4 linked regions of the Oreochromis niloticus genome follow. The protein of the gene in region 1 binds, or shares a complex with, the protein of each later gene. Links are inferred from orthologs where the notes say so. Each region holds a gene or a part of one and is shown in the gene's direction. Other genes may lie near its edges.

The links.
Region 2: med16 (region 1) and med8 share a complex: the UniProt entries of both Homo sapiens proteins name them as parts of the mediator complex. The link is inferred for Oreochromis niloticus from reciprocal best matches to the Homo sapiens genes MED16 and MED8.
Region 3: med16 (region 1) and med4 share a complex: the UniProt entries of both Homo sapiens proteins name them as parts of the mediator complex. The link is inferred for Oreochromis niloticus from reciprocal best matches to the Homo sapiens genes MED16 and MED4.
Region 4: med16 (region 1) and med18 share a complex: the UniProt entries of both Homo sapiens proteins name them as parts of the mediator complex. The link is inferred for Oreochromis niloticus from reciprocal best matches to the Homo sapiens genes MED16 and MED18.

The regions. Positions count from the first base shown.
Region 1 is NC_031986.2:36,000,696-36,008,051, forward strand, and holds the start of med16 (mediator of RNA polymerase II transcription subunit 16), read left to right. Parts: upstream 1-4,350; 5' UTR 4,351-4,713; intron 4,714-5,610; 5' UTR 5,611-5,763; intron 5,764-5,834; 5' UTR 5,835-5,880; coding exon 5,881-6,019; intron 6,020-6,103; coding exon 6,104-6,211; intron 6,212-6,422; coding exon 6,423-6,592; intron 6,593-6,711; coding exon 6,712-6,993; intron 6,994-7,120; coding exon 7,121-7,270; intron 7,271-7,356. Other genes in the region: misp (mitotic interactor and substrate of PLK1), read left to right, coding at 842-880, 957-1,046. UniProt on the Homo sapiens protein: Component of the Mediator complex, a coactivator involved in the regulated transcription of nearly all RNA polymerase II-dependent genes.
Region 2 is NC_031986.2:30,947,533-30,954,848, forward strand, and holds the start of med8 (mediator of RNA polymerase II transcription subunit 8), read left to right. Parts: upstream 1-4,303; 5' UTR 4,304-4,388; coding exon 4,389-4,394; intron 4,395-4,621; coding exon 4,622-4,743; intron 4,744-5,016; coding exon 5,017-5,161; intron 5,162-5,250; coding exon 5,251-5,391; intron 5,392-5,486; coding exon 5,487-5,574; intron 5,575-5,666; coding exon 5,667-5,906; intron 5,907-7,316. Other genes in the region: aldehyde dehydrogenase family 9 member A1, read left to right, coding at 227-423, 1,353-1,493, 1,592-1,780, 1,913-2,000, 2,082-2,223, 2,419-2,531, 2,615-2,709. UniProt on the Homo sapiens protein: Component of the Mediator complex, a coactivator involved in the regulated transcription of nearly all RNA polymerase II-dependent genes.
Region 3 is NC_031987.2:29,462,397-29,469,769, forward strand, and holds the start of med4 (mediator of RNA polymerase II transcription subunit 4), read left to right. Parts: upstream 1-4,371; 5' UTR 4,372-4,445; coding exon 4,446-4,516; intron 4,517-5,042; coding exon 5,043-5,109; intron 5,110-5,763; coding exon 5,764-5,934; intron 5,935-6,300; coding exon 6,301-6,358; intron 6,359-6,463; coding exon 6,464-6,550; intron 6,551-6,635; coding exon 6,636-6,767; intron 6,768-7,120; coding exon 7,121-7,293; 3' UTR 7,294-7,373. Other genes in the region: itm2bb (integral membrane protein 2Bb), read right to left, coding at 1,606-1,689. UniProt on the Homo sapiens protein: Component of the Mediator complex, a coactivator involved in the regulated transcription of nearly all RNA polymerase II-dependent genes.
Region 4 is NC_031976.2:26,228,922-26,235,945, reverse strand, and holds the start of med18 (mediator of RNA polymerase II transcription subunit 18), read left to right. Parts: upstream 1-4,002; 5' UTR 4,003-4,160; intron 4,161-4,185; exon of another isoform or gene 4,186-4,422; intron 4,423-4,588; 5' UTR 4,589-4,618; coding exon 4,619-4,691; intron 4,692-6,357; coding exon 6,358-6,914; 3' UTR 6,915-7,024. Other genes in the region: uncharacterized protein LOC109204220, read left to right, coding at 1-155, 238-348, 471-511, 620-730. UniProt on the Homo sapiens protein: Component of the Mediator complex, a coactivator involved in the regulated transcription of nearly all RNA polymerase II-dependent genes.

The DNA.
Region 1 (7,356 bases):
TGCTTCAGGAGATGATGAAGATGATCATTTAGAAGTTGTCAATGAAATGATGCTGCACAAATAAAATGGAAGTGAATAAAATAAAAACCAAGGTCCAACAAAGCTGGGTCTGTGTGAACTATAAAACAACCCAGAATGCAACAATCTCTAAATCTATTAAACTAATATATTATTTACTACAGAACACAGAAAACACATAAAATGTTTAACCATGGTAAATGTTTGAATAAAAATATGAGCTCATGTTGAATCTGATGGCAGCAACACATCTGGACAGGTCCATGTTTCCTCTTCCATAACATCAGTCTGTGAGCTGAGGCGAACAGCTGAAGATCACAGAAATCCAATACTGATTTACAGCCTCATCCCTGCGCTCAGATCCACTGAATATGCTGATGATGTCTTATTGTGTAGTTGATGATATGTTCACAGCAAGGACTGTGATTCTGAAACAGGTTGGTGAACCTCTGAGAAGCTCCGCCTCTCTGAGAGGATCTTTTTCCACCTGATCACGTGACCGACCTGCTGCCAGCTCACCTTTGATCTTTTCTTTTGCACTGCCGGACTTTGACACACTTTTACTGCTCCGTCGCAACTTTTAGGTCGAGTCGCTGCTGCCAAATTCCACATGAGCTCAGATTTGTCAGTAAAATGTCTCATTTTGAGTATTTACTGTGTTTTTTGTGCTCTATTGTGGATAAAATATGAGTTTATGGGATTTGCATTTTATTGCATTCTGTTTTTATTTGCAGTTCAACCAGTGTCCTGACTGTTGGAACTGAGGTTTTAAAACTGCACAATAATAACAGAGTCTATTTTTTATTTGTCTGTTTCTTTACAGTACGCAGGAATCCAGCCAGTCGATGAGATCAACAACGAGGTATGGGCTTCTCCTGTAACATTAACCCCTTTACTCCTTGTCTCCTTAACTCCTTGTCGTCTTGGCCTGTTTTCAGGTTGTGGAGTCGACTCGAGTCAATCGACATAAGAACCAGGGAGCTCTGCTCTGGGAGGCCGGACGATTTGCCAACCAGGAGAACCAGTGAGTGTGCCTGACTCCGAAACAGGACTCGACCTCAAGCAGCAGGGCAGGAGATCCTGAAATACAGGACTGAGTTTCTCCTCAAGCTGGGATGCAGTGGTTTCTAAAGACTCTCCAACAGAAATGGCTGTTGCTGATTAGTCCTTGAAGATGACAGCAGTTCCCCTTGTCTAATCAGCAGTCCGTTGGTTAGAGCCTAAAACAGAGACAACGTGTCTGATTCATCTAGAGAAAAAAAAGAGTTCCAGTGTTTATCTGCAGACTTTTAATCTGACACAGCAGCACAGGAAGTTTCTGATTGTTTTCATGATGCATCAAAAATAAAGAATGATTTTTAGTCCTCAAACATTCAGATGGTTCACTGCAAGACACAAACATCTGCCAACAGCTGCAGTATTATAGCAGAATCACAGCGACAGGAAGCTCAGTTTTACCTGCTTTCTGAAAAACACTTGAACAGAGGGTTCTAACTTTCTCCAAAAGATCCAGAAACAGGAAGTGTAGCCAAACAGAGCACGCCAAACCCATCTCTGAAACAAAGGTTCACAATGTGTTTTTAGCAGCATTACCACTAAACCTTCCACACAAAATTAAACAATGATTCTCACTGCTTTAACCACCTAAGACCCGAACTGTTTCATGGCATGCATTTTTAATTTCTCTTTGCTATTTGGGCTGATTGTGACCTGATGAATGTAAAAACAAAGAATTACCAGATTTATTTATTATTTTTTTTTACCTGATTTTTGTTTATGAGAAAAATGAGATCCACATATGAGGACATTCGTTTTAAATTTTGATAGAAGTGTGGCAATATAATGTCCCCGTAACTGGATATCAGGCCCCTGTAGAGCAAAAGTTTGTATTTTGGTCTAGACAACCCAAAATGTGATGTCCACATATGTGGTCACCGGGTCCTAGGAGGTTAAACTGACGTTTCATTCTAGTTTATTTGTAATTTACCTGCATTTCTGTTTTTTTGGTTTCGTGTTTTGATTTGATGTAAAGCACCTTTGTAGCACCTGTTGTATCCCGACATGTGCTACACAAATACATTTGCTTACTTAAACACACCGACACAGCACAAAACATAAACACAATAACCAAACACACTGTTTGGTTACACTCACCTCATCGTTATACAAACGACCAACAACATCAGAGGGTACCTGGTGACAGCAGAGAGGAAGAACTCTCTTTAATCGGGAAGAAAACCAGGATCAGGGAGGAGGAGACAGGAAAAGAGGACGTGATGTTTCTCAATAAAGTCTTTCTTTACTTCAGCCCACACAAAAACCAACCATATGGACAGCATCCTGCTCTTGATACAACGCAGAAGGTGATCAAAAAACAGAGGATCGAACTCACTCATACAGCAGATCATTGGATCAGACCATAATCTAGCTGTGCATAGGGATGGGTATCCGGTGCCAGGTTCTGACATAAACGGTAGTAACCAGACCGAAAAGCGGCGCCCATTTCGGTGCTTTTTTTTTCTTGAGATGTCATACACTTTGGATTCTAGCCAATCATTTTACCTTTCCAAGGATAGTAGGCAGGCCCAGGTACGTACGTTCTTTTAGTTCTTCTCTGAGTGAGTAGCTTAATGTTGTTCGTGTGTAATTTACATTGAGTAGGCTAACCACGTTATTAAATTAATGCACGTAAGGTGAACTAGCAAAGACCGTCATAGTTACATGCGGCTGTCTTCTTGTTTGATAGAGTGACACCATATATGCCCTATAGCTGCAGGAAAGGCTAACATTGTTATCTTTTTACAAAAATCCCCCCAGCTAAACATGAGAGGTTTTAGGACAAAGTTTGTGTTTTCCATTGTTTAAGCACCGGTTCGAGCACCGTTTAAGCACCGGCACCGTTTCAAAAGTACCGGTTTGGCACCGGTATCGGATAAAACCTAAACGATACCTATCCCTAGCTGTGCACCCAGTGTTGCCAACTCCTCAGTAAGGAAAATCGCTATTGGCTGTCCTAAAAGTCGCCAGAAGTCGCTAAATGACATCATCGCCTAATTTGCATAATTGGTCATGCTAATGTAATTGTAACCTACGTTGCTGGAGAGAGAAATAACATTGTGGAAGAGACATAAAGTGAGTAAAAAACGTCCTAAATGCATTTAGAATTTATTTAGAACAACAAATTAAATTTATTTTAGCAATTATTGTTTTTTTTAAAGTCAGAATTCCAACCCTGCTCCTTTATCCGGTCTTGGACCGGCAAAAAAGACCCGAAATAGGCACTCTGGTGGAGTTACTTTGTGTGTGTGTGTGTTTATAAGTAGTTTTAAACCTCGTGATCCACAAAACAGCATAACAGTAAAAGAAGAACTGACTGCGTTACAGTCAGTGCGGGAGCAGCGGCTTCGCTCATGCGCGATTCATTTGCAGTTCGGACGCATAGGTGTGAACATCGTCTGCCCTGATAGCAGCTGGGGGAGGACTATCCTCCGCCTGTGAGCGCTTTGGTACGGGCGAGGTGCCCACGGCAGCACCCGCTGCTTGTTGAGAGTAAAAGCGATGCCCACTTTCACGTCAAAAAGTCGTGGCTGTAGCTCAGGTGGCAGAGCAGGTCAGCCACTAATCAGAAGGTCGGTGGTTCGATCCCAGGCTGCATCCTGGCTGCATGCCAAATATCCTTGGGCAAGATACTAACCCCATGTTTGCCTACTGGTGGTGGTCAGAGGGCCCGGTGGCGCCTGTGTCCGGCAGCCTCGCCTCTGTCAGTGCGCCCCAGGGCAGCTGTGGCTACAATGTAGCTTGCTATCGCCAGTGTGTGAATGTGTGTGTGACTGGGTGAATGACTGAATGTAGTGTAAAGCGCTTTGGGGTCCTATGGACTAGAAAAGCGCTATACAAATGCAGGCCATAAATAAATCTCCAATAACACCAGAAAAAGTCGCCAGATTTGTCGCTAGTCGCTTTTTAGAAAAAAAGTCGCTAAGGGGGTCTGAAAACTCGCTAAATATAGCGACAAAGTCGCTAAGTTGGCAACACTGTGTGCACCCTGTCAGTGTGAACTCACAGCTAAAGAAAAAGTCACCTGACACCAGATTTAAAATACGTTTCTGGACAGATGAACAAGATGACAATGCATCGAGGTCGGATATTTTTTCAGCTTTAGTTTCCATTATTAAAAACAACAACTAGTAAATACTAGTAAAGGAAACCACAATAAACTAAAATCGATGCAGGTATCTTTTAATTTTTTTTCCGCCTAGAAGACTTCGCTGAGGGCAGAATGTTCCCGGGGATAGAGGAGGGTGTCCGCGGCGCCCGTCAGATTAACAGCCGGTTCGTCGCACAGAGCCGATATCAAACTGATCACAGAGGTTATATCAGTCATCTCACAGACAAACACGTTTATATTACACGTGGCTTAAACGTCTCGCCTTGACGCTGTTTGAGTAGAGCTTCGGGGTGCCGTCAGTGTTTTATAGTCAGGCAGCTGTAGAGGCAGCCGCGGGGTCCCCACATCCTTTTAACAGAGAGCGGTTTGTTTTTAACAGCAGCAAGCAAAAAGCGCTGAATTCAACTCAAGTCTGCTGTTTCGGTGTTTTAATGACCTTAAGTTAATTTTAAACAGCCTTAAAAACAGGAAAAGGAAAACAGCTAATTTTCATTCTCATCTGGGTGACAGGAGCGGAAAACCGTCAGGTGAGCTAACGCTAGCGGCTAGTGCAGCTGCTCATTCACTGTTGTGACTGAGTACTGTGACCATGGTGTTATTTGGCACGGCCTGGGTGAACAGTTTGATGCTCAGTTTGAAAAGGAAGCAGCTGAACTGCTTTAAGTTTGTAAAGACGTTTCATGCAACAGGCTTCTTTAGTTCTACAAATTAAAGTGGAGGGTCCCAGGTGTTTAATCCCCATTGGAGGTGATCCTGAGGGTTACCCACTATTGATCATGTGAGTCAACACAAGAACCAAGGTATGAAAGAAGGTGGGGCTCATTACCATCAATGGGGTTTAATGGTGAAACCACTGTGAGATGTTGCCCCAGCCCATCGTGTGACCTGTTGAGGACACCTGAGCCAAGGTATGGATCTGGGTGGAAATAGTCGGTTTTGTAAACCCCGCCCTCTGTTCAAAGATGTTCGTTCACAGTGGACATAGATGCTTCTTCCACTAACCATCAGTCCTCTCTGTCCGAAATGTGAACATTGGCATCCTCAAAAGAGTGACCTTTGACTTTTAGATGCAGATGTACAGCTGAGTCTCTCTTCTGTGTACAGGTTTGAGCTTTCCTTGCAGCACGGCACTGCACAGCATACACTGTTGTTTAGTTTGTGTCTGAGTGTGTGGCTGGGTCTGAAGTACACTGGGATGCTTCTATGATAAACCTGCTACATACGGGATTACAGTGTTGTTCCCCTTTGTCCTTCTTATTCTCCCTAGTTGGTGTCTGACCTTCTTTTCTGTGCATCTTTGCTGATTTGATGAAAGCCCAGTGGGGACAACCACATGTTTTAAGAGCTTTCTTCTTTACATGTGTGTTCCTTTTCTTTCTTTTGTCCTTCTACTTGTGCTTTGCTTTTTCACATCTCTGTACCAGTGGCTAAGTGTCCCTTTTGAAAGCTTTACTTTCCACTACTTCAGGTAAAGGTGGCACTGGGGAGCCCGTGGCTCATGCATCTGTCTGACACATGTAGTGGTAAGGCAGAGGTCTGATCACTCATGTTCATCTCTGCTCTATCCACACAAACAGGTCAGTAATTGGTGTTTAAGTGATTAGAGCAGCTGACAAGATTAAATCCCTCTGACTGGTCTGCTTTTTAGGTGACGCATCCACCTGGGCTCTAGATTCTTCTTCTGTGGTGGAATCATGGAACTGGCCTATGTGTGTGAGTGGGAGAAGCGTCCGAAGAGCACACACTGCCCTTCCATCCCGCTGGTCTGCTCCTGGTCCTGCAGGAACCTCGTGGCCTTCACCACAGACCTGAAGAGCGAGGACGACGACAAGAGTACACAAATACACACGCACGCGCACACACACACACACAGGCGAACACACAAACACACGCTGAACTTGATGTTCTGTTTTCCAGATGTGAGTCACATGATCCATATCATCGACACTGAGCACCCCTGGGATGTTTTCTCCATCAACTCTGGACACACTGAGGTCATTTCCTGTCTGGAGTGGGACCAATCAGGTGAGACTTCAGTTAAATGTTTTGGAGATGAGCTCAGCTGATTGATTGACTGTTATTGGTCTGGAATCGGATTGGCTATAAGCTGTTCAGACTGTGCAAGCAGGAGAATCTGCTTTTCTCTTGCTTTATGTACAGTACATGTTGCAGTGTCACGTTCTGCTGAGAGAGACAGGAAGTGACGTGTGTGTCTGTGTGTTTGCGCGTGCTGCAGGCTCACGGCTGCTGTCTGCAGACGGCGACGGGCAGATCAAATGCTGGTCGATGTCGGATCACCTGGTGAATAGCTGGGAGAGTGTCCTGTCGAGCTCGCTAGATGGAGACCCCATCATCGCTCTCAGCTGGCTGCACAATGGTGTCAAGCTGGCACTGCACGTGGAGATGGTAATAGCTGCCCACACATGTGCACACACCTGCTGGCTCGTTGCAGTGATAGCTCTGTGTCTTAATACTCACTGAGACCAGTTGAGTAAGCCCTGCCTCCTCTTCTCCTCTTGCTTCAGTCTGGCTCCACAAACTTCGGGGAGAAGTTCTCTCGGGTGAAATTTTCACCGTCCCTAACGCTGTTTGGCGGTAAGCCGATGGAGGGCTGGCTGGCGGTGACAGTGAGTGGTTTGGTGACAGTGTCGCTGCTGAAACCGGGTGGCGCTCTGCTGACGGCGAGCGAGAGCCTGTGCCGGCTGAGAGGGCGCGTGGCGTTGGCCGATATTGCCTTCACCGGAGGAGGGAACATTGTGGTGGCTGCCACAGATGGCAGCAGCTCCTCGCCTGTGCAGTTCTACAAGGTAAGGACCAAAGATGCTGGTGTTACCAAGGGGCTATCACCTCTGATGCTAACCTGACATTTGCTGGCGTCACCAAGGGGCTATCACCTCTGATGCTAACCTGACATTTTACCTTTGGTTGTTTCAGGTGGTGGTCAGCGTGGTGAGTGAGAAATGTCGCATTGACACTGAGCTGCTGCCGTCACTTTTCCTGCGTTGCACCACCGACCCGCTGAGGAGGGAGAAGTACCCCGCTGTCACCCACCTCAAGTTCCTGACCCGGGAGAACTCTGAGCAAGTAAGACCAGTGTGCACAGTCAGATCAATAAGACAAGTGTGGCCATTAAACCCGAGACCACCAGGACCTTCAGAACTCAGAGGAAG
Region 2 (7,316 bases), about 5.1 Mb from region 1:
AAATAATGCAGCAGAGCCACAGAGCCTCTGTCACATCACTGATGAACATGTTGTTCTTTTAATAAATTACTTTTGGCCTGTTTAATACTGGACTCTACCACACGTTCCTATCAATCAGCCTGTAGTACAGTTTGTTTCTATCTGTTCGTCTTGTCTCATGTGACCATTCACAAAGGTAGCTCTGCAGGCCTTAACTTGCAGGATTTAATTGTGGTTGTGTTTTCAGGTAATGCCATCGTATATAAACCCTCTCCAATGGCTCCGGTGACTGCTGTCATCCTGGCTGAGATCTACAAAGAGGCTGGGGTACCTGATGGGCTTTTCTGTGTGGTCCAAGGTGGAGCAGAGACCGGCAGCTTGCTCTGCCATCATCCAAAAGTCGCTAAAGTCTCTTTCACTGGGAGTGTTCCTACAGGCAAAAAGGTACACAGACCAGTACAGCATTGTTTCCCACATATGGACTGTAACTGGAATGTCCAGATACACTGATGGTCTTCCAAGTAAATTTTGTTCTTAGTTGTTTTGTTTTTTTTTGTCATACAGAGGAATGTGATCTGTTTACTAATATAGAATATTTTAGTTTAGAACATAGAGAGTATGATAGATGCACATAGGCACTGTGATGTCTCCATGTTAAGCATTAGCATTTTGTCTGCTGCTATGATGTTTTGTTTTAAGACAGAAGTCAAGCAGGTAGAATGCAGTTAGCAAGCTGCCAAAACTGAAACGGTTCAAAGAAGTCAATAATTCTTTTTCTTCTTCTCATTATTATTTTCAACCAGGCTGTAAACTGAATTTAGTGCTGGGGACTTGGACATTAAAGATGGGAATGTTGGGTTATTGGCTCACTTTTGGAGTCACGTATTGGGGTATTTATTCTCCTGTGGGACACAGCCCCAACCTACTGTGATTCGCCTGTTTAGCAACTGTTGATTCCTCATGTGCATTTCTAGTTGCGATTTTTGAACTTGCCAATAAAAGAATAACAGTCATCATCTCAGTATAAGAAAGAAATAATCATAGGATAAAATTTAAGGAAGATCTGAAGTTATAGGAACTGACATGAGGGAACGTACAAAGAAGTGAAACGATGTCAGTTACAAATATGTTTGCCCCTAAAGAGAAAACTGACTGCAGAGAGGCAGTGGGGACGCGGGAGGATAAAAGAGTCCCCAGACTCAGAGTACACTGCCCTGGAGGTGACAACAGTAGCCCTTGTTCTGCTCTGGAGATCTCCTGCAGGCTGGAGGAGGGTCACCCTAACCAGCCTTAAAGATCTGCTACTTTATTTTAAGCTAAAGGTGACTTTATTATACAAGCCCACAGACCATGGCTGCTCTCTTTACTTTCAGGTCATGGAAATGTCTGCAAAGAGTGTGAAGCAGGTGACTCTGGAGCTGGGAGGGAAATCTCCTCTCATTATCTTCAAAGACTGCGAACTGGAGAATGCAGTGAAGGGGGCACTAATGGCGAACTTCCTGACACAGGGACAGGTGAGTCTGTACAATGTACTTTTAGTGTACTGTGCAGCCTGATGCAAACCAAGACTCTTGGAGGTTTTGGTGTATTAACTTTGTGCTGAAATATGCAGGTGTGCTGCAATGGGACCAGAGTGTTTGTGCAGCGGGAGATCATGCCACAGTTCCTAGAGGAGGTAGTCAAGAGGACCAAGGCCATCCCTGTTGGTGACCCCCTGCTCGGGAGCACCAGGATGGGACCTCTGATCAGCAAACCACAGCTGGAGAAAGTGCTGGGATTTGTCAGTCAGGCCAAGAAAGAGGTGCTTTTCATTAGAGGGAGAGAATTAGCTTTAATAGTTTGTGGTTTCTCAGTTAAACACAAAGAATCTGCATTACTGTGGGTATTCTTTAACATAGCTCTTGTAATTATTTATTTATTTATTTATTTCTAGGGAGCCAGAGTGCTTTGTGGAGGAGATCCCTTTGTCCCCAGTGACCCCAAACTGAAAGGGGGGTATTTCATGTCGCCATGCGTACTTGGTACGTCTAACACTTTGGTTAATGGTGGTACAGCACACGCACAGTCAGCTTTGTTTTTTAACACACAAAGTCTCTCGACAGATAACTGCAGAGACGACATGACCTGTGTGAAGGAGGAGATTTTTGGCCCTGTTATGTCCGTTTTGCCTTTTGACACGGAGGAAGAAGTGATCCAGAGAGCCAACAACACCACCTTTGGACTGGCCTCTGGGGTCTTCACCAGGTCAGTCTGTCGTGAGTCAGCAGTGTGGTGCAACTGTTGACGGCTTGCTCTTTTAAGATAATGAGTTTATTGCATTCTGTTGGCTGTGGCTCAAGGTCTCCACAGTGCGGCCAATTCACTGCACAGTAGCAATTTCAAGTTGCATACAGACTGCTTTTCTCTGTATAAAAGTCGGTTCTTTTCCTTCTCCTACAGGGACATTTCTCGAGCCCATCGCGTGGCAGCGAGTATGGAGGCAGGGACCTGCTTTATCAACAATTACAACATCAACCCTATAGAGTTGCCGTTTGGAGGATACAAGATGTCGGGTAAGATGCTGTCAGCTTTTCATGGTCCAGGTAAATGCTGCATTTGCTCAATAAATTAACCAGTTCTCTCCTGATCCCTGCAGGCTTTGGCAGAGAGAACGGCCAGGTGACCATCGAGTACTACTCCCAGCTGAAGACTGTAGTGGTGGAAATGGGTGACGTCGAAAGCCTCTTCTAAAGTTTTACACCGCTGTGCCAGAACTGTGACTACAGCTCTTCACTTCTCCCTTCTTACTGTGCTAGGCTGACACATAATTAATGCAGAGTGTGTGGAACATGATGTAGACTCCAAAAGTATTGAAGTAATCAGAAGAAAATTTCTGCCTAACAGCTGCTTCTTTGTATCAAAATAAACTTGTAGAAGCAAATTCTTTTTCTTTGTTGCTTGTGAGTTGAACTGTATGAATATGCTATACTGAAATCACGTCAACAGTCATTTCAAGGTGCTTTATATTGCAAGGTAAAGACTACAATATTAGACAGAAAATGCCAACAATCAGCGATCCCCCTGTGGGCGAGACGAAGAGCTTCTTTTTAACAGGAAGAGACCTCCATCAGAAGGGCAGACATCTGCCTCAACTGGAAAGATCAAAGGACAGCAGACCAGCGGATGAAGTTAATAACATACAATACATGAGTGAAAAGAGCTGAGTGGAGAAAAAATACTTTAAAATAATATGTTAAATAAGTTTAATATGGGACGTCACTGAGCAAGCTTGGTCTAGTGCAGGGTCACCTGACTAAGCTGTAACTTTATGAGTTATAAAAACTTTCAAGGCCAAATTCAAAAGTAGAGAAGGTGTCAAGAGTATTGTATTCACTATATTGAGATAATATAATAAAAAGATACTTTTATTACTATATGTGAGGAGAAGGATTTTAAGTTCTGGATTTAACAGAGTCAGTAAAGAGTTGATAGTGTGGGAGAAATATGATCTCTCTTTTCCTTTCCTGGTACCTGGAAAATGGTACTATTAATTGACATTTTAGTTATTCTGTAAGTGATGTTATTATTGTTGGTAATACTAATTAGCAGGATTTTGGTGGTGTACAACCACAAACTTTGACAGTGTATTTGATATTATATGCTACCAGGTGCTTTCTAAAATTGCAGATCATTCATTCATAATGATCTGCAATTCTTATGAGTTGTGCTTCACGTTGAAGCAAACTGAAGGTCCTGGTTTCTTTCTGCGTGCTCATGCTTCCTCCCAGAATCATACATGTTAGGTTAACTGTTGTGTCTGTGTATCTGAATAATTGTCTCGTGACAACAGGGTTCATATTGTTAAACAATAACTGCTTTACCGATAAGGCAGCAGCACCATGTTGTAGTTTAAAAGCAGTTGTATGTTGCTATATATATAATATATTAAGTATATAAATATATGGAGCATTTATAAAGTAGGAATGTAATTGAGAACCTGCAAAGCGTTATCTGACACACACACACACACACACACACACACACACACACATATATATATATGTGTGTGTGTGTGTGTATATATATATACATATATATATAGTGAGAGAGAGAGAGAGGGAGAGAGAGAGAGAGAGTACACAGTTAATGTACAAATTAATTACTATAGTTTTAATTACTATAGTAATATAGATTAATATAGATATACATTCAGTTTTTACATATATCACATTTGAACTCTAAACTCTAAACTGAAATATTTGCTTAAATGTCGCATAAGTTGTGTACTGGATTATTTGTTTACGAGAAAAATTTGAATAAATAAACGTTATAGCGTTTCCGCCATGTTTAATCTGCAGGCTTTTACTTTGACAGTGATGAACCGGAAGTGCTTCTGTGTCGCTTGAGGTTGGCTAAATTCTACTTGAACAATGCAGGTAATAAATATGAATATATATTCTGGACGACAGTATAATGCCTCCTTAGATGCATTAACATTCATTAAAACTTTTATTTATTTTGCCTGATGACTCATTTTCTTCTTGTTTAAGTGACTGTTGGTCTCTTAAGTGGCTGAGTTTATGCACTCTTTAGCCGTTTAGCTAGCACAACTGTGTATTTGCAGTCAGTTTGGGAGGTTTTTAATGCTTTTGTTGTCTTTTAGCAACGAGAAGAGAAGCAATTAGAGGCGTCAGTGGAGTCTCTCATTTCGAGGGTGGCTCACGTTAAAAATGCTCTGCACAGTTTCATTTACAAACTAGAAAACGAGTACGAGCGTTTGACGTGGTGAGTAAAATTGTTTTCAATGTAAAGCAGGCTGATTTGTATTAAAAGAAACTCGACATAGATTTAAGTTGACCTCGTACTTTGTTGTTCAAGCAGTTTTTGACAGCAACATTATACACAACATTGAACACATTGTGTTCCTTTTATTTACAGGAGAAAATGTGACAGAAACTGTGGAAAATCTTGTCTTGTGGATATACAGATTTGATCTGAAACGCGTGCTTTGTGGATTATTTTTGAGCTCTCACAGATGTTCCCTTTTTTGTCCTGTAGGCCTTCTGTTTTGGATAACTTCGCTCTTCTGTCTGGTCAGCTGAACACCATCAATAAACTGCTCAGGAACGAGAAGACACCATCCTTTCGCAACCAGGTTATAATTCCCCTGGTCCTGTCTCCAGACCGAGATGAGGACTTGGCAGTGAGTACCACAGCTGATGACACGTTTCCTTTTTTGAAGAAAAAAAAAAGGAAGTATTTTCTCTGAGGTGTCTGTTTACCTGCTCCCAGAAACTTACGGAGCAGCGCGTTCCAGTGTTCAGCCATGAGATCGTACCGGACTACTTGCGGACCAAACCTGACCCAGAGGTGGAGGAGCAGGAGAAAACGCTGAGTACAGAGGCAGCACGTATTGGCCCCGATGTGGCCCAGGTTAGTTTGGACTCACATAAAATAAAATATTCTGTCATTTTTGGGAATATTTTGCAATTTTTGTTTAAGCCTTCAGGTTTTATTGTCATGAACAGAAACAGATCCAGGCTTTGAATAAGTTGTGTACTACTCTGCTGGAGAAGCTAAGCAACCCTCGTGAGGACAGAGATGCAGAAAGTGCTGGTATGTTGCACTTCTGCTGCAGTTTTTTTCTTTAATAAATTACACAAACACAGTGATGACTCACAATTTTTTATTTTTATTTTTTAACCCAGCTATGCGACAGAGCAAACCGTCTTTCAACCCTGCTGACACTAACGCATTAGTTTCGGCTGTTGCATTTGGAAAGGGACTTTCCAAATGTAGGCCTCCTGGTCCTGTGGCCCCTGGACACCAAGGACAGGGGTCCATGATGAGTGGAGGTCCAACCTTACAGCAGGTCACTATTGGTGGGGGTTCAGGCCAGCAAGCAGGTATGGGAGGACCTGTGGCTCAACAGCAGCAAGGACAGACAGGTAGGAGACTTGGAAAGCTGAGTTAGTATTTTATCTGAGCACAGCATCACAGTTATGTGAGAGCCAGCCATAGAGTGCTTTGCCGTGTTTCTTCAGTTTTCTTCAGTTTCAAGACTTTACTGATGACAGTCATTAGTTTTTGAATTATAATGAATTAAGTGTGATGCTCCATTTAAAAATTATGGTCACTTTAAGAGGTAGGAAGGGGAATTATACAGGATATGTTAAAGGCAAATTTTTAAAACACCAGCTGATAACAAAAATGCTCAGCTCTAGGCTTCATAACAGGATACTCAAACAATCTTACATTATACTGCAGTTTAAAAAACTGCCTATTCCAATATTTAAAAAAACAATAACATTGCACAAATGAAAAAACATTCTCAAGCTAATGCGCCCATTTTTCCCATGCAATAATCCATCTATGCTTCCACCCAAATGCAGAGGCCGAAGGGACCGTGGTGCATGCTGATGATTAGCCCTTATTAGGGGGCATTAACAGTCGTATCTGATATATATTTTATGATGTTAAGTATTACAAAGTAGTTGACTGTCATCCCTGGCTTTCCTAACATAGACATGATTTAAAATAGTAGATGGCATTTTGTCATAAATTTGGTAGAAATGCCAACATTTCTGTATAGAATTCATTTCTGTGGTCTGTGTATAGTTGTTATCATGCAGTTTACAGCTTAAAAACATGTTAAGGTGTGCACTACCTGTTTAATTTAACTAGAAATGTACTTTTACTTCAAAGTAATCTCCACGTTAATGCCAGGAAAATTCCCACCAAACATTACATTGTAATGAGATGATAGTGTTGATTTTCATATGAAAACTGCTTGTTTGTTTATATGTATTGATACTACTTTGAACTCTACAGATCATTTTCAGGAGTTTATGGACCTTGAAACTTGCACATTGACTACTAGCTAAGACTGTCACAATACTAGAATTTATTGAGTATATACTCAGGGAACTACTAAATACCATTTTTGAGACCACGCTGAAGATTTTGACCCCATCCTGCAACAATAGTAAAGAAAATCTCCAAAGGTTGATTCTGTTCATCTGGACGTAACGTTTTGTGGGAGAAACGTTTCGTCACTCATCCAAGTGACTTCTTCAGTCTCAGCTGACTGCAGGTTTCCCCAATCTTATAAACAGTACATTTGCATAATGACTGAAACCAACCAGCTCAGTGAATGGGGTGGTTGGGTCAGTTCCTTAATCTTAATTATGCAAATTCTCATGCCCATTGATCAACAGCCACTGACTAAAACCCACTGATCAAAACCCACTGATCAATGGCCATGAGTACCATTCACAGAGATAGTGAATAGTAAAGAAAAGTAATGGTGAAGAACTCACATTTCAAAAAACATGTTGAATTTTTGCAAACTTTTTCAA
Region 3 (7,373 bases), on another chromosome or scaffold:
GTCGGTGAGACTGAAGCTCAAGACACAGGGGGGCGGGGGGGCGGTAGAAACTGAGCCCTGCCACCTTCCTTCATACAGTCTAATCCCACAATAACCATGCAGGCAGATTGTGTGAAAGTTTCATGCTAAGGCAGAACTCTCACCACAATGAGTCAAGTTAAGATATTCTCACAGCTGCTCATCGAGAATTACACTTTTGTGGTTTGTCACTCAGCACACATCTTTGAAACTACAAGCAGCCGTTTGCGTTTGCAACTGTAGCAAGGTTTACATCGCAGTGCTCTCTGCATACAGAGAGAGCCCAGAGGTCCTCTGTCAGACCGAAACAGAAACAACAGGCAGCTCCTTTTACAACAGGGTGGAGGCCAGCGGGAAGATCTTCTTGTAGACTTTACTGTCTGACAGGCAACACGCCTCAGCAGCCCACACATTCAACTCCACAAGTCAGCTCGAAAGCAGTTGAATAATACAACCAGCTCCTTTGCAGGGTGAGATCACACAGCAGTCGCAGCCGCTCTGCAACTCTAAAACTGTCATTTAGTTGCACTTTTCTAGTGAATGTTGTGTAAAATACACTGCAGCGTCACCACACTGCACAGCACTCTTTTGGGTTTTTTGCACTTTTTGGGGGGGAAAGGTGAATTTTCTAACTTTTGAATGACATTTTTAGGACACTCAACATACACATCTTTCAGACCAAAGAGGATGTCAAAGTGACAGACTCCCATGCCTTCCTGTGTAGTCTTTCCATTCTAAGCTGTTATTAATTGCTGAGAGGTGCAGATTAAAAATAACTAAATTTGCATGGACTTTTAAGTTTAGTTATGGGGAAGTTCCCACCTCCTCTGCTTTCTCTTTTTTGAGAGTGGCACTCTTCACAAAGAGGCAATAACATAACATCTGCATTTTCTGTTGTGTTTTTTTTTCTTTTCTTTTTTCTTTCCTCGGCACATGTTCATGTCCTTGAAGTCTGAGGCCAACTGATTGCAAAAAAAGCAGGAATAACTGTAATATGAAACCAGATTAAAACCCATCCTAAAATTTGCCAGGTAAAAATCTACACGTGATTTTGGTGCCAGCACTTAATGTTTTTCCCTCCACTGTTTTCTCTTACATTCTTCTGCTTACTGACTGGTCTGTTTGGTAACTGCACGCTTTAACCACCTGGTATACTTGCTGACCTCTAAAACGACATGAAAAGTCAGGCAAAGCTCGTTCCTACACTTTAGAGCCCATAAACTTACATTAATGTTTTCAGGGTATTGTCAGACCAACTTAAAAGGTGTAAATATTATATTTATGTGGATACAATAGATTTAAAAATGGAAACAAGTAGAAAATACCGGAAACATCAAGAGTATCAAAGGTGAAAAAAACAAACGCCACATGAGGAAGTAACGTCCAGTCAATTATTTGACGTTAGTAGTTTAAATGATACATTGTATGATTTTAAAATGTATTGTTTAAAAGTGTTCAAAGAGTGGAGAAACTGAAATATATCAGGAGCCCTGTTAAACAACAGTATTGTGTCTCTACGCATTTATGCTTAACTGCGCCTTTCCCCCCACCGAGAACCGAGTTTGCTGTTAGCCATTTTCTACTCACTTTGTCCTCCTCGGGAATAAGAGTTTCGGCGTCCTTCTTCACATCTTTCTGTGCCAGAGCCGTGTTAAATGATACCTTGACCATCTTGGAACAAGTGGCGACAATCTCCGAGAGAAAGGGAAAAAAAGCAACACGACAGAAAGCAAACAACAGCAAAGACAATTTGCTCCGAAGTAAAAATAAGTCGCACTTCTCCCCCGGCCAAGTCTGCTCTGTTGTTGTGATAAGAGCGATGTAAAGCTAGACTTAGAGTCGCCGCGCTTCCGACTTTCAAAATAAAAGCATATCCACGACGATTAATCTAAGACGTTCCGATATTTGACTGAAATACGACAATATAAAAGCAAAATGGCACAATCCAAGCTTAAAACTTAGCTTAAAAAGAACATCAGTGTGAAATTATGTAATTATCTGTATATACGTGCTGTATTATACCTTATTATACTTGCTTTTATTATACTTTATTTTATAGCCTCTCCTATATAAGATATGTATTTCAAAGCGATTTACAATAGGCCGAGAAGCACAGTGAATGGGAATGCTAGACAAACAACAAATAAAACAATGCAGAAAACAATTAACGAAAAACTCATTTAACATATTTAATAATATACCTACTTAAAAGAACATATAAATGACTGTTAAATAATAAAATAGATAAATAATACAAAAAGACAAGTAATAGACTAAAATGTTTTATTTAAATATAGAACAATAAAACTGTGCAAATATTATGAAAGTGATTAGATCACGACTGTTGCTCTGGTACCTAGAGCTGTCAATAAATATTATATCATTTACTTCCGAAATGTAGTGGAACACATACACTAAACTCAAGACTTTATTACTATAAATATAATTTATAGAGTTTATTACTTTTCTGGGATGTATTTACATAACCAACCATCAACACCAAGGAGTGGGGGACAATCCGAGCTACACACACTGATTAATACGATAAAAGTAAGGCAGGGGCGTCAAACATAAGCCCAGGGACCAGAATCACCTCTCCAATCTGGCCCCTGGGACAGCTTTTTAAACTGTATTTTCATAAGTTTTATGAGTTTTCCTACTGATCAAAAAACTCCCCCATGACCACTAACCTAAAATAAACAAGGAATGAAAACACAAATGACACTTTTTTACCATCATTATTCAAATCTATCATTTTTGCAGTGGCTTTACAGGAGAAATACAAAAACAAAAATTCTTTCAATTAACAAAAATGTTCTGTTTGTATAAGTAAAAGACCATCTGTGCCATAAGCCAATAGAACTTTTTCTGTATTAATACATTTGGGTGTAAATTTAATACAATTAACGTAATTAGTGGAAGTAATTTATGCATTTATTTATAACAGTTTAAGCCCAAGGAGTTGTGCTGAAAAACTTCAGTATTTCTCTGTAATGCAGAAAAACTGAGATGTATTGTGTAATGTGTAGTTAAACTTCTTTGCAATGACAGAAGTAGGAGTTAAGCTCAAATCTGGCTTTATATTTACACAGTGTAAAAGGAGTTTGATAACCCTGCCATAACATAAGAGAAAATAAGAAAATTAACATAATGGCACGAACATAAATGATGACTAAAAAGTGGTAGTGGATTAAAGAAATCCAAAATTTAAATAATTTAATGGGCTTCAAGAAAATATACACATTTTTGATTTACAGAAAAAACAGAAGAACTGTCAGTTTTAACTGATGAGCTATATAATGAATTCAGAATATATCGTATTTATTTGATTCAAATATCTCAACAAACCACGTGAATAAAATCAGGCTGCAATGTGAGTTCTCATCTCCGAAAGGCAATATCCAACCACGAAATACAGATACACTGTACACAGCTTCCAAGAGAAAAAAGTTTATATGTATTTTATCTTTTAATTACTGTGGCACTTTTCCCATTTTGCATAAATGCTTGCATTACATAAACTTTTGTGAAATTTTAAGCTGGTTTGCACTTTTATTTTGACGGTCCGGAAGCTTCTTCAGTTTCGGTTTGCGCTGTCTACGGCCTGCCACAGACTGGGGGAAACAGCCGACATCTGGGAAATGGCTGTTTCCCCCTGGTCGGGGACATGGGAACTAAATAAAATAAAGCTGTGTGAACACATTTATATACAGTGACAAAAAAACAAAACAAAAGATTAATACAATTCTTTCACGCCAGCTGGGATGTATGATGTGTGATGTACTCAAAAAAAGAAAAACAATGAAAAAAATATGGCAGAAGTACTGTATTCATTTTTATTTTCAAGCGCTTGAATCGTTACTTGAATATTTCCACATTATGTCCCGTCATAATAATATATATATATTATCAACCTTTCCAACTTAATGTACTCCTTAATTTTTCATTCGTGTCGCTTTTCGCTTGAATGAAGGTGAAATACGCTGATAACAGAAAAAAAATATTTGACGCTCTTATCTTCGTAAATGACAGGTAACCTATAATTAAAAACATAGGTCTGACAAATAAATGCAGTGCATTAAAAAGTAAAAAACAAAAAAACGGGAGGAATTTATTTGGAGTAGATGAACTTAGTACAAATTATTGAAAATTATAGATATATAAATAAGGCACCATAAGTCTAGATTAGAATATGGCTGCCAATAATACTTTTTTTTTGTTTGTTTTTTTGGGGCTGCCGATAATACTAATGTAATAACGCCAACAAATGCTACGGAAGTGAGAACAGGAGTCATATCTCTAGCATACCCTAGAGACCAAAACGCAAATTGCCCGAAAACAATAAAGAAGAAGAAGAAGAAGAAGAAGCATTAGCATGTTGGAACATCATTTCCTGTCTTGCGCAAACCAGAGGAAAGAAAGTAAACATGGCGGCGGCGGAGAAATCGACGAAGGAGAGACTACTGTCTGTGCTGGATGATTTGGAGGTTTTATCCAGGTAAAATTAAACTTCGTGTGGGGGCTTTCTTGTGTCTCGTGTAAACGGTTTGGTAAGCTATCCGTATTTTATCTGTGAAGAGATAAAATACTCATATTTGGAGCCGTGAACTAGCACCCCCAGTTTGTGCTGATTACTAGCAGACATGCCGCTCACTGGCCGAAACAACGGCTTTTCTGAAAGAAAGATAACGAACCCTGGGATTTGAAACAACCTGAAACACTGTTCTAAGTCTTTTCTTGGAAACTTTTAGCAGTTAGAAGACTGAGTGTGTCCATTTTATAAAACAAGGTTGCTGAAGAGTTTGTAGGTACTACACTCAGCGGCTAATAGTCATTTTTAAAAGGAAACTACCACAAGAATGGCCAAAATGACTAATCAGAGAAACAAAGTGAACATAGGCGTACAGAAAACGATCGTCAGTATGAGCTTTAAAAAGTAAATAAATATATAAAGATAGAAATTGATTTGTTGGATTGAGTTGTGCTGTTTGACCCATTTCTCATTGTGTGTGCGTTCATTTCAGGGAGCTGATAGAGATGCTGGCCCTGTCCAGGAGTCAGAAAATGCCTCAACCTGGAGAGGACACGCAGGTAACACCCCACTCAGCCTGCAGTTGACACACCGAGATTTAAACAAACTAATGACCCTCACAGTGACCGTCAGACCATGTGTAGTCTTAGGGTTAGTGGTGATCAAAGCTTAGCCAAAGGCCTTCTACAAGCAAGTCTCACTATGTGGCAGCTATTCTAAAATGTCTCCAGCTATATATTTGGTCAGTGTTGTGAAACACTGTCCAGTTTGATACTTGTCTGCCACTCGGTGTCTGTATTTTTCCAGTTTCTGGTACTTGATCTTTAAGTTCTTTGTGGACTTGCACAGTCTTAAGTTTTTTGCTTTTTGCTGTTTTAAAGTTTTGGTGAGACATGATCACTGATACAGGATCACTGTTTCTTTAAGGACAAACCCTGTGCTTAATTGCTAACCATAATTTTTTAGATTTAAGCATTTAATTTTAATGCGGTCACATTTGAAGATATTTAGTTCCTTCCAACTGATTTTCTGTCGTCTTGTCCATAAATCTTTCATAACTTTTGAACCTTTTATTGTGTCTGAGTCTCCAGAGAATGCCTAAAATTATTTTACAAGTTAGACTTGACTGATTTTAGTTAGTTACAGTAACCTGTATGAAGCGTATCAAATAGGAAATCTTTGATAACAGAATGTGTATATGCTTTATCCATAAGATTCTGGAGCTGTTGGTGCAGAGGGACAAGGAGTTTCAGGAGCTGATGGAGGTGGCACAGCAGCAGGGGAAGGTTCACCAGGAGATGCAACTGCTGGAGAAGGAGGTGGAGAAGAGAGACAGTGACATCCAGCAGCTCCAGAAACAACTGAAGGAAGCAGAACACATCCTGGTGGGTTTGGCTTGTCTGTTGTTTTTAATTTTTAATTTTTTTTTTTTCATCCAGAGCAGGGCAACGCTGACAGATTGAAATAAATGCTCAAATGTTTTAAGTATGCTGGTGTAGCTGACACTGTGCTCTTACAGCAGAGGCGTTCAGGGTTATAGTGTTGCTATTGTAAATGTAAAGGGGCCTATGATTCTCTTCTTTTTCTGATTTACTTTGTTACAGATGTACATATTAAACATGGTCAAGGTTTAAAATAATGAGGCCAGCATATGAAGAGTCATGATAAACAGAAACTACATCTTCTTTAAATTCTAACATCATGTGACAAGTGATAGAGAGGACTGATATATTTCTGTGTATCTCTTTCAGGCCACTGCTGTTTACCAGGCAAAAGAGAAACTGAAATCCATTGAAAGAGCCAGGAAAGGTGAGGGAACACTCCCGACACGTTCTGGTGAAAGCTGTGTTTGATGGCTGGTTTTCTCTTTGATGTCTTGCTCATAAATTGACACTGTTTACATGTTCTCTGCAGGAAGCATCTCATCAGAAGAAATCATCAAGTATGCTCACAGAATCAGTGCCAGTAACGCTGTGTGTGCTCCTCTCAACTGGGTGCCAGGTATGTGCCAGGCTCTCTTGTAGCTCCCACCGGGTGTTGGTAAAAAGTTATGTTCAGCTTCATTCACTGTCATCATACTTGACAGGTGATCCACGCAGACCGTACCCTACCGACCTGGAAATGCGTAGTGGGATGCTTGGTCACATGGCCAACCTGTCCACCAATGGTGTGAATGGGCATCTGCCAGGAGATGCATTAGCTGCTGGGAGGTTACCAGGTAAGTCCAGCTGAGCAGTTAAAGAAAGGAGTGCCCATGCCTCCTGGCAAAGAGATTGTAGATGAGGTCAGAGGTTTGTTACAGTGATTTCAAAATGTATAAGTTAATAATTTATCGTTATAATGATAAAAAGTTAAAGGATGGATCCATTATTTTTCTTTTTATCAAGTATAAACACTGAACACAGATTTTATTTGTTGCCATTCAGACTGCATCCACATCATGTTCTGTAACATAAGAAACTTGGCAAAAAGTGCCAGCTTTCAGATACTATATAAGGGAGCTGAGATAAGTAGTGTCAGTCAGTGTCTGGCATTTCACAGAATAACCACTTTTCTCTCGTGTCACTTCAGACGTCCTGACGCCTCATTACCCGTGGCAGTCGTCTGATGTCTCAGTGGGGATGCTGCCCCCTCACCACGGCAATGACTTTGGCCTGGAGCCTCCGGGTCACAACAAGGAGAACGAAGATGATGTAGAGGCCATGTCCACAGATTCTTCCAGCAGCAGTAGTGACTCCGACTAAAAGTGTGTCTCAGAGTCAAGAGACGCTGAGACGTGTGTGTGTGTGTGTGTGTGTGTGTGTGTGTGTGTGTGTCTGTATGT
Region 4 (7,024 bases), on another chromosome or scaffold:
CATGAAATCCAATAATCCAAACAGAACTTCAACTACATCTGTGCATGTACATTCACACGGGTCCCTAAAGTGCAATATAGATTCAGTGTTTGATGGATACACTACAGTTACTATGAGTCCCACATTTAGCACAAACGCATTTAGCACAACAACAGGTGGGTGTTTAGCCATATGCTGTTTGTGAACCTTTTACACCTGAATCAAAGAAATAATAATATTTAGTTTTTGGTTCCACAGGTTTTGAAAAAGAGCCTGAAGACTGGATCCCACTTATTTGTGGTATATCAGTATCATGTGTCATTTTAATGGCATTTATAATTTTTTGCTTCAAATCAAGATTACATTCAGGTAGGCTATGCAGCTGCGCCTTACTTCCACTTCCTGTGTATTTCATTGTTTTGTTTTAATGGTTTGCATGAAAAATTTCCCCCCATGATTCTGAATATACTTCTGCTTCTGTCTCACCAAAGCATTTCCTGTTCAAAATTGTTGCTGTGGCTTGAATAGCAGGGTAAGTATCTGTGCTGACATTGAGGTGTAACCTAAAACTCTCATGCAGAAATGAAGTGTGTGCGTGTTGCTTTGTCTGGGTAATGAAATTTATTGCTTTTTACTGCAGGTGGAAGAGGAGTCTTCAGTGGTTTATTCATCAATTATCATCAGGACACCTGGCAAAAGAATTAATCACATGGCCTCTAGTGATTGTGTTTATTGTGAAATAAAAGTATAGAGAAAAAAAGGTCCAGGATAAGTGAGGTCACTTTTATTTATATAGCACATTTTAAAACAATATGGATTGGTCCAAAGTGCTTTTCAGTTGACTGTTAAAATAGGTAAGGTCATTAAAGGGCACTGTTTAGAATTATACTTTCCATCCTTGCTGTCATTTGATTTAGTAACTAATTCCTCAAATTACTTAAATTGTAACTTCACCCACATGTTGCTCAAGGGAAAATCTGAAACCATGAGTCTCTTTTTCCAACAAAGGAATGATTTCTAATCGAATCTTTAACTGAACTTTTACCTAATTCTCTGAAAGCCGGGCAGATGTATATATCTATATATATATCTATTTACTTAGCACTTTTAACTTTTATTTTTATGGTTATTTAAGCGTTGTTTGACAGTATGTTTTGCACTAAGTACCACAGCAATTTCCTAATGTTGTAAACCTGCTCAACATTTGGCAATAAAACCCTTTCTGATTCTGATTCTGGGTGTTTTAAAGTACATGGATCGATAATTTTAATGAGAGGCTTTGAGTGTGATACAGATGTTATGTAACAACATTTTTTTTGTTGTTGTTGCTCAGTACAGAGGTGAGGTCCATTCATGAACTGCATGAAAGCACAGTTTCTGGTTACCTTGCAGATCAAGTTAAGATAAAACAAATGTAGGTAAAGAAGTAAAGTTGACCTCAAAATGTTACAGCAATTAAATGCTGCTTTCACAAAGAGAAACTTTATCAGGTACATTAAGTTACTCGAGCTCAGCAATTAAAACAAATTTACAAACAATTTATATTTTTTTGTTAAAAGAAAAAAACACTTATTACACTAAATTTATTTTACAGCTGTATTTTGCTTTGCAGTTTTAGGTTTTACATAATCACCATATAAAATATGACCGCAGTAAAACAGCATCTAAGCAAAAGGTTGCATGAAGAAGGCTGTTAAAAGTGTTAAAACCGCAGCAGTGCTGCGTCTGCAGTGTTAATCAATAATGATCATCAGTGATAGCAAAACAATAACACCCTGCAGATAAAAGGTTATAGTATGATTATTACTGTGAGAAATATGTGTGTTCATACTGTGAGGACATTTTGGTGAGGATAGTCACTGAAAATAATATTTTGGATCCTTTTATTTGTTAAAGTGTTTTATTCAAAGTAAAGTATACAAAAAAAGTGAAAACAATAGAAAAATAGTCTTAAGAAATAAACCAAAACTCACTAAATGCGTTGTTTGAAAAGGCAACAGACAATAAAAAAATATAAAGGAAATGTTGTTTAGTCAAAGATGGAAACACAAAGAGGAGGCTCTGGTGAAAATGACTGTGAGTCAAATGTGTTGTACTGTACTGTTTTACTTATATTTGACCTATGTCACTAATACCACCCACGTCATAAAAACAAAAACACCAACACAGAAACTAATAAAATGCAAACTTATCATTTAACACTTAAAAACCAAACTGAAATCAGAAAATCCACCCTGAAAACTAAAATAACACCAAAATCAAAGGTGGAAAATCCTAAATTAAAATAACAATGGCAGTATTCATAGCAGTCATCTCCGAATAGCCTAAATTGAAAACAATTTGAGTACCACAACACCAACCAACAGAGACAGACAGGACATGACACACAGGACAAACCACTACATCACGATCTGTCATTGGTGGCAGTGTGCACAGCTCTAAGGAAAACAAACCCAAATAAGGCAGCTGACCCAAATAATATCCCCAGGCATGCACTCAGGGTCTACTCATCAGAGCTGGATGGTGCATTCATAGACATATACAATCTGCCTATGCTTTGAGTCCACTACCAGTGGGCCCCTCTCCAAGAAACATACTGCCACATGCTTAAACGACTATCATCCTTTTGGACTTACATCAATTGTGATGAAGTGTTTTGAAAGGATCAAAAAGACCATCCTGGCTACCTTGGACTCTTTACTTTATGCACACATACAGAATCAGTCCACTAGAAGGTAGTAACACGTCTGTGAAAATGCTGTTCGTTGACTGAAGCTGCATTTAATGCTGTCAGACTCACACCCTTTCTCTGTAACTGAGCTCTGAACTTCCTGTAAGATAGACCCCACTCAGTCAGAGTTGGAAACCAGACATCAAACATCAGAACTGTGAGCATTGGTATTACTCAGGGGCATGTGCTGAGTCCACTGCCACATGCTCTCTTCACATATGAGTGTGAGCATCCCCCTAATCAATACCAGAATTATAAAATTTGCATATGAAACTAAAGTAATTGGGCTGATTACTGGCAGGGATGGCATAGAGAAGAGAAGTGAAATGACTAGTGGCCTGGTGTCAGGAAAATAATCTTGCCCTAAATGTAGATAAGAGCAAGGTGATCTGAGGAAAAGACACTCCAAGACAGAGGTGGAGGACACACATGAGGATGGATTTCACCTGGTCTCACAACACCCAGCAGGTAGTGAAGAGCACATTGACTGTACTTTCTAAGATGACTGACAGGGCTCAGCTGCACTACTCAAGACAGGAAGACTTCAGTGTGCGAGAAAAACTGCACAATAAATCACAGGATCATCTTTTCATTAGTATAAGACATTTACACCACCAGGGCTGTCAGCATTGCCCACATCAACATTAAATACAACACAAACTCACAACACCACCAGTTAACAGGTAGGTGGTAGATGCTAAAGGTAGATGCAACAGGAGTCTGAAATCAAAGACTGTAAGTCTCAAATCAGACTCATGAATAAGACAGTCAGTGTCGCCTCTCTTCTACCCCATCAATATTATTGACTATTAGTGTACTTATTATTACCTGCTATGGCATAAATTTGTAAAGACCGGCTTGCAAATATGGACAAAGCAGGTACAACTCGGGTTTTCAAACTCAGGTCTGTTTTTAAAACTAATTTTAGTGTTTGCATTTTCAATACTTGCAATCTTTGTAAATTTTCTGGATTCTTTATTTTTATTTTATTTGAATAATTATGTTTGTTTTGTGTCAAGAGATTGGCAAAATTAAGTGTAAACTACTGCTTTTATTTCCACTGTATGTATGCCAATAAAACCTCTAAACTTAATGCTCAGTAATATATACTTTTCACAGTACTGTGAAAACAGTAATAGTTTCCACAGTACTGATAATCCATTCGTATAGCCTGTGTTAATAAAACCAGAGTACCTATAGTCTAAAAAGCCTGTCTGTCCATGACGTCCATGTCCATTTCTTTCTATTTTATGCACAGATGACCTGCTGTCGATATTTTTAGCACTACCAGTAGGTGGCTGTAATGAGCCTCAAAGTTGGATGTCTACCGATTTGACACACCAAAGGAAGACGCTTCTCATTCATTGTTGTTGCTAACTGTGTTCACTTTTTCTTTCATAACTAAAAAGACGTTTATTTCTTTCCGCGTTCGCTTCTTTGTTTTTGAAAGGTAATATATTTTTAATGTTTCTGTAATAACATTGAAACGCTTAGCCTGGTAGCTTAAGTAATGTTGCGGTTAGCTACTAGCAAACCGAGTAGCTGTGTAGTAGTAGCCGTGTAGTAGTAGCCGTGTGTTTAGAACCCTGTTTAGGCCTTTGGTCAATAGTATTAAAACGTTATCGAGAACGAACACTTAAAACATTTACCCGGTTTTCCTCGGCTACTGCTCTTCGTGGTTTCGTAGACAATAGTGCAAACTGTTGTTTCGAGTGAGTTACACTTAGATTAGTGTTACCACCGGCTATTAGCGAGCTAAAAGTTACAAACTCTGTTACCTATGGCGACAGGTGGAAATTTTTTGTTAATGATGGCATTGCTCCATCAGATGTTCCGACATGTATATATATGTATCTGCATATAATTTTCTTTCTTTAGGCCCAAAAACCTCAAAGTACCCGAGGAAAGATGGAGGCGCCACCTGTTACTGTAATGCCTGTCACTGGGGGCACAATTAACATGATGGAGTATCTGTTACAAGGTAAGATATCATGCATCCGCTGAAGCAAGTAAGCAGGTAAATAACTAACAAGCCCTGAGTGTTATACATAGCATATAGTACTGATAGTGGCAATACTACAGATAGTAGCTTATAGTAACAAAAATGCAAAGCAACAGCAATAATCATTTAATAGTTGCATTGTGCAACTGTTCAGCACAATGAGTAAAGTTACATCAGCAACAGCCTTTGGTGTGAAAGTGAATAGTGAATGAACAGTGTTACATATGTCACGTTTGACCTAAATTATTATGCACTAGCTCCTAAATGGTAAATGGTAAATGGCCTGTATTTATATAGCGCTTTCTAGTCCCTAAGGACCCCAAAGCGCTTTACATATCCAGACATCCACCCATTCACACACACATTCACACACTGGTGATGGCAAGCTACGTTGTAGCCACAGCCACCCTGGGGCGCACTGACAGAGGCGAGGCTGCCGGACACTGGCGCCACCGGGCCCTCTGACCACCAGTAGGCAACGGGTGAAGTGTCTTGCCCAAGGACACAACGACCGAGACTGTCCGAGCCGGGGCTCGAACCGGCAACCTTCCGATTACAAGGCGAACTCCCAACTCTTGAGCCACGATCGCCCCACATGACCCAAATAACAGCTAAATTCTTATTATAATATTATTACAAATAATTTTTAAAATGGTGCATTTACAATGTTTAAAACCTTATTTCTTAACTTGGTCACTCTGTTGTAGAATACTGTGGGTCTTCTCCTGGACCATTGCAGATTTGTTTAGAAAATGTATGGTCCAAAGTTTGGCCATTTATGATTGCTGTGACATTTTACCTTGTATCAAATACTTTTCAAGATATATTTTCTTTGAAATATGGACCATTGACCCTCTTCCAGCATTTTTTTTGGTCATACTTTGAAACCAGATGTTTGAACACAAATATCTGTTAAAGATAATAAAGAGAAAAGGATATGATTTCCATATCCAGATCTGCAGATCCAATCTGTAAAGTGTCATATTTAAACGCACACCAATTTTTAATGGTATACAATTGAATTTCACAATAATGCAAAATGGAAAATTATTTCTTAGTTATAAAAATGAAAAAAATCTTTTTTGGGGGGTTTAAATTTCATGCTGCATTGAGCAAATGTGAAGTTGTACCACAAAAACGAAAAATAGTAATGCATAGTTTAACCCAAATAGACCAAAATTCTAAATTCTGGAGGTTTCAGATGGTATTCTAATTACAACAGTAAAAAATATTTTGATTTATTGAGATAAGTTTAATAAATCAAAATGAGTATTTCATGACCTACTGAACTGTCTTATAATTTACACTAGGTTTAAAATATTACTGCGTGTGCCCTGAAAGTGGGTGGATGTGTTGTTTTTTTTTTTTTCTTTAAAGGAAAATCCTTGAGGTATTTGATATATGAAGCAAAAATGTCAAAGCAATCATTATATATGTACAAACTATGGACGATCTAAGATAGTTAAGCCCATAATGTCTCTAAAAATATTATGATTTGAGTTTGTAATGTTTAAAATGTGAGCTCTTAGCTGTTGATTTTCTCTGAGAAATGTTAATGGAGACTATATTTATAAATATAATATGTATAGAGTCCTAGCCAAATGTAATTTTTTGTATTTGTTCCTTGTGCACTTTATTGAATCAGGGAGTGTGTTAGACCAGGCCCTGGAAAGCCTCTTGCATCGCCTTCGAGGTCTGTGCGACAACATGGAACCTGAGACTTTTACCGATCATGAGTTGGTTTACCTTCTCAAAGGCCAGCAAGGAAACCCCTTCATTTTGCGTGCCCGCCGTTCCCTCTCCCACCCAACTGCTCCATGGCACCTACGCTACCTTGGTCAATCTGAAGTGGGAGACAAGAGTCGCCACGCTTTGGTACGCAACTGCGTTGATGTTGCTGCCTCTCACAGCCTTCCGGAGTTCCTCAATGAGATGGGCTTCCGCATGGACCATGAGTTTGTCAGCAATGGACACATATTTCGTAAAGGTGCAATGAAAATTGTGGTCAGCAAGCTGTCACGCATACTTGTACCAGGGAATACAGAAAACACTGAGCATCTATCACTTTCATACCTGGTGGAGCTGAGTGTGTTGGCTCCTGCAGGACAAGACACTGTGTCAGAGGACATGCGCAGCTTTGCTGAACAACTCAAACCCCTGGTTCACTTGGAAAAGATTGACCCTAGCAAACAGAGACATTAGCCAGTTTTCCACAAAAAGGAACTCTCTCCGGGTGACTGGGAACCTTGGGAGGGACTCCATGAGTTTCCACCAGAGGAACTAGGTCTAAGTCAACTTCTGAGGGAATTATT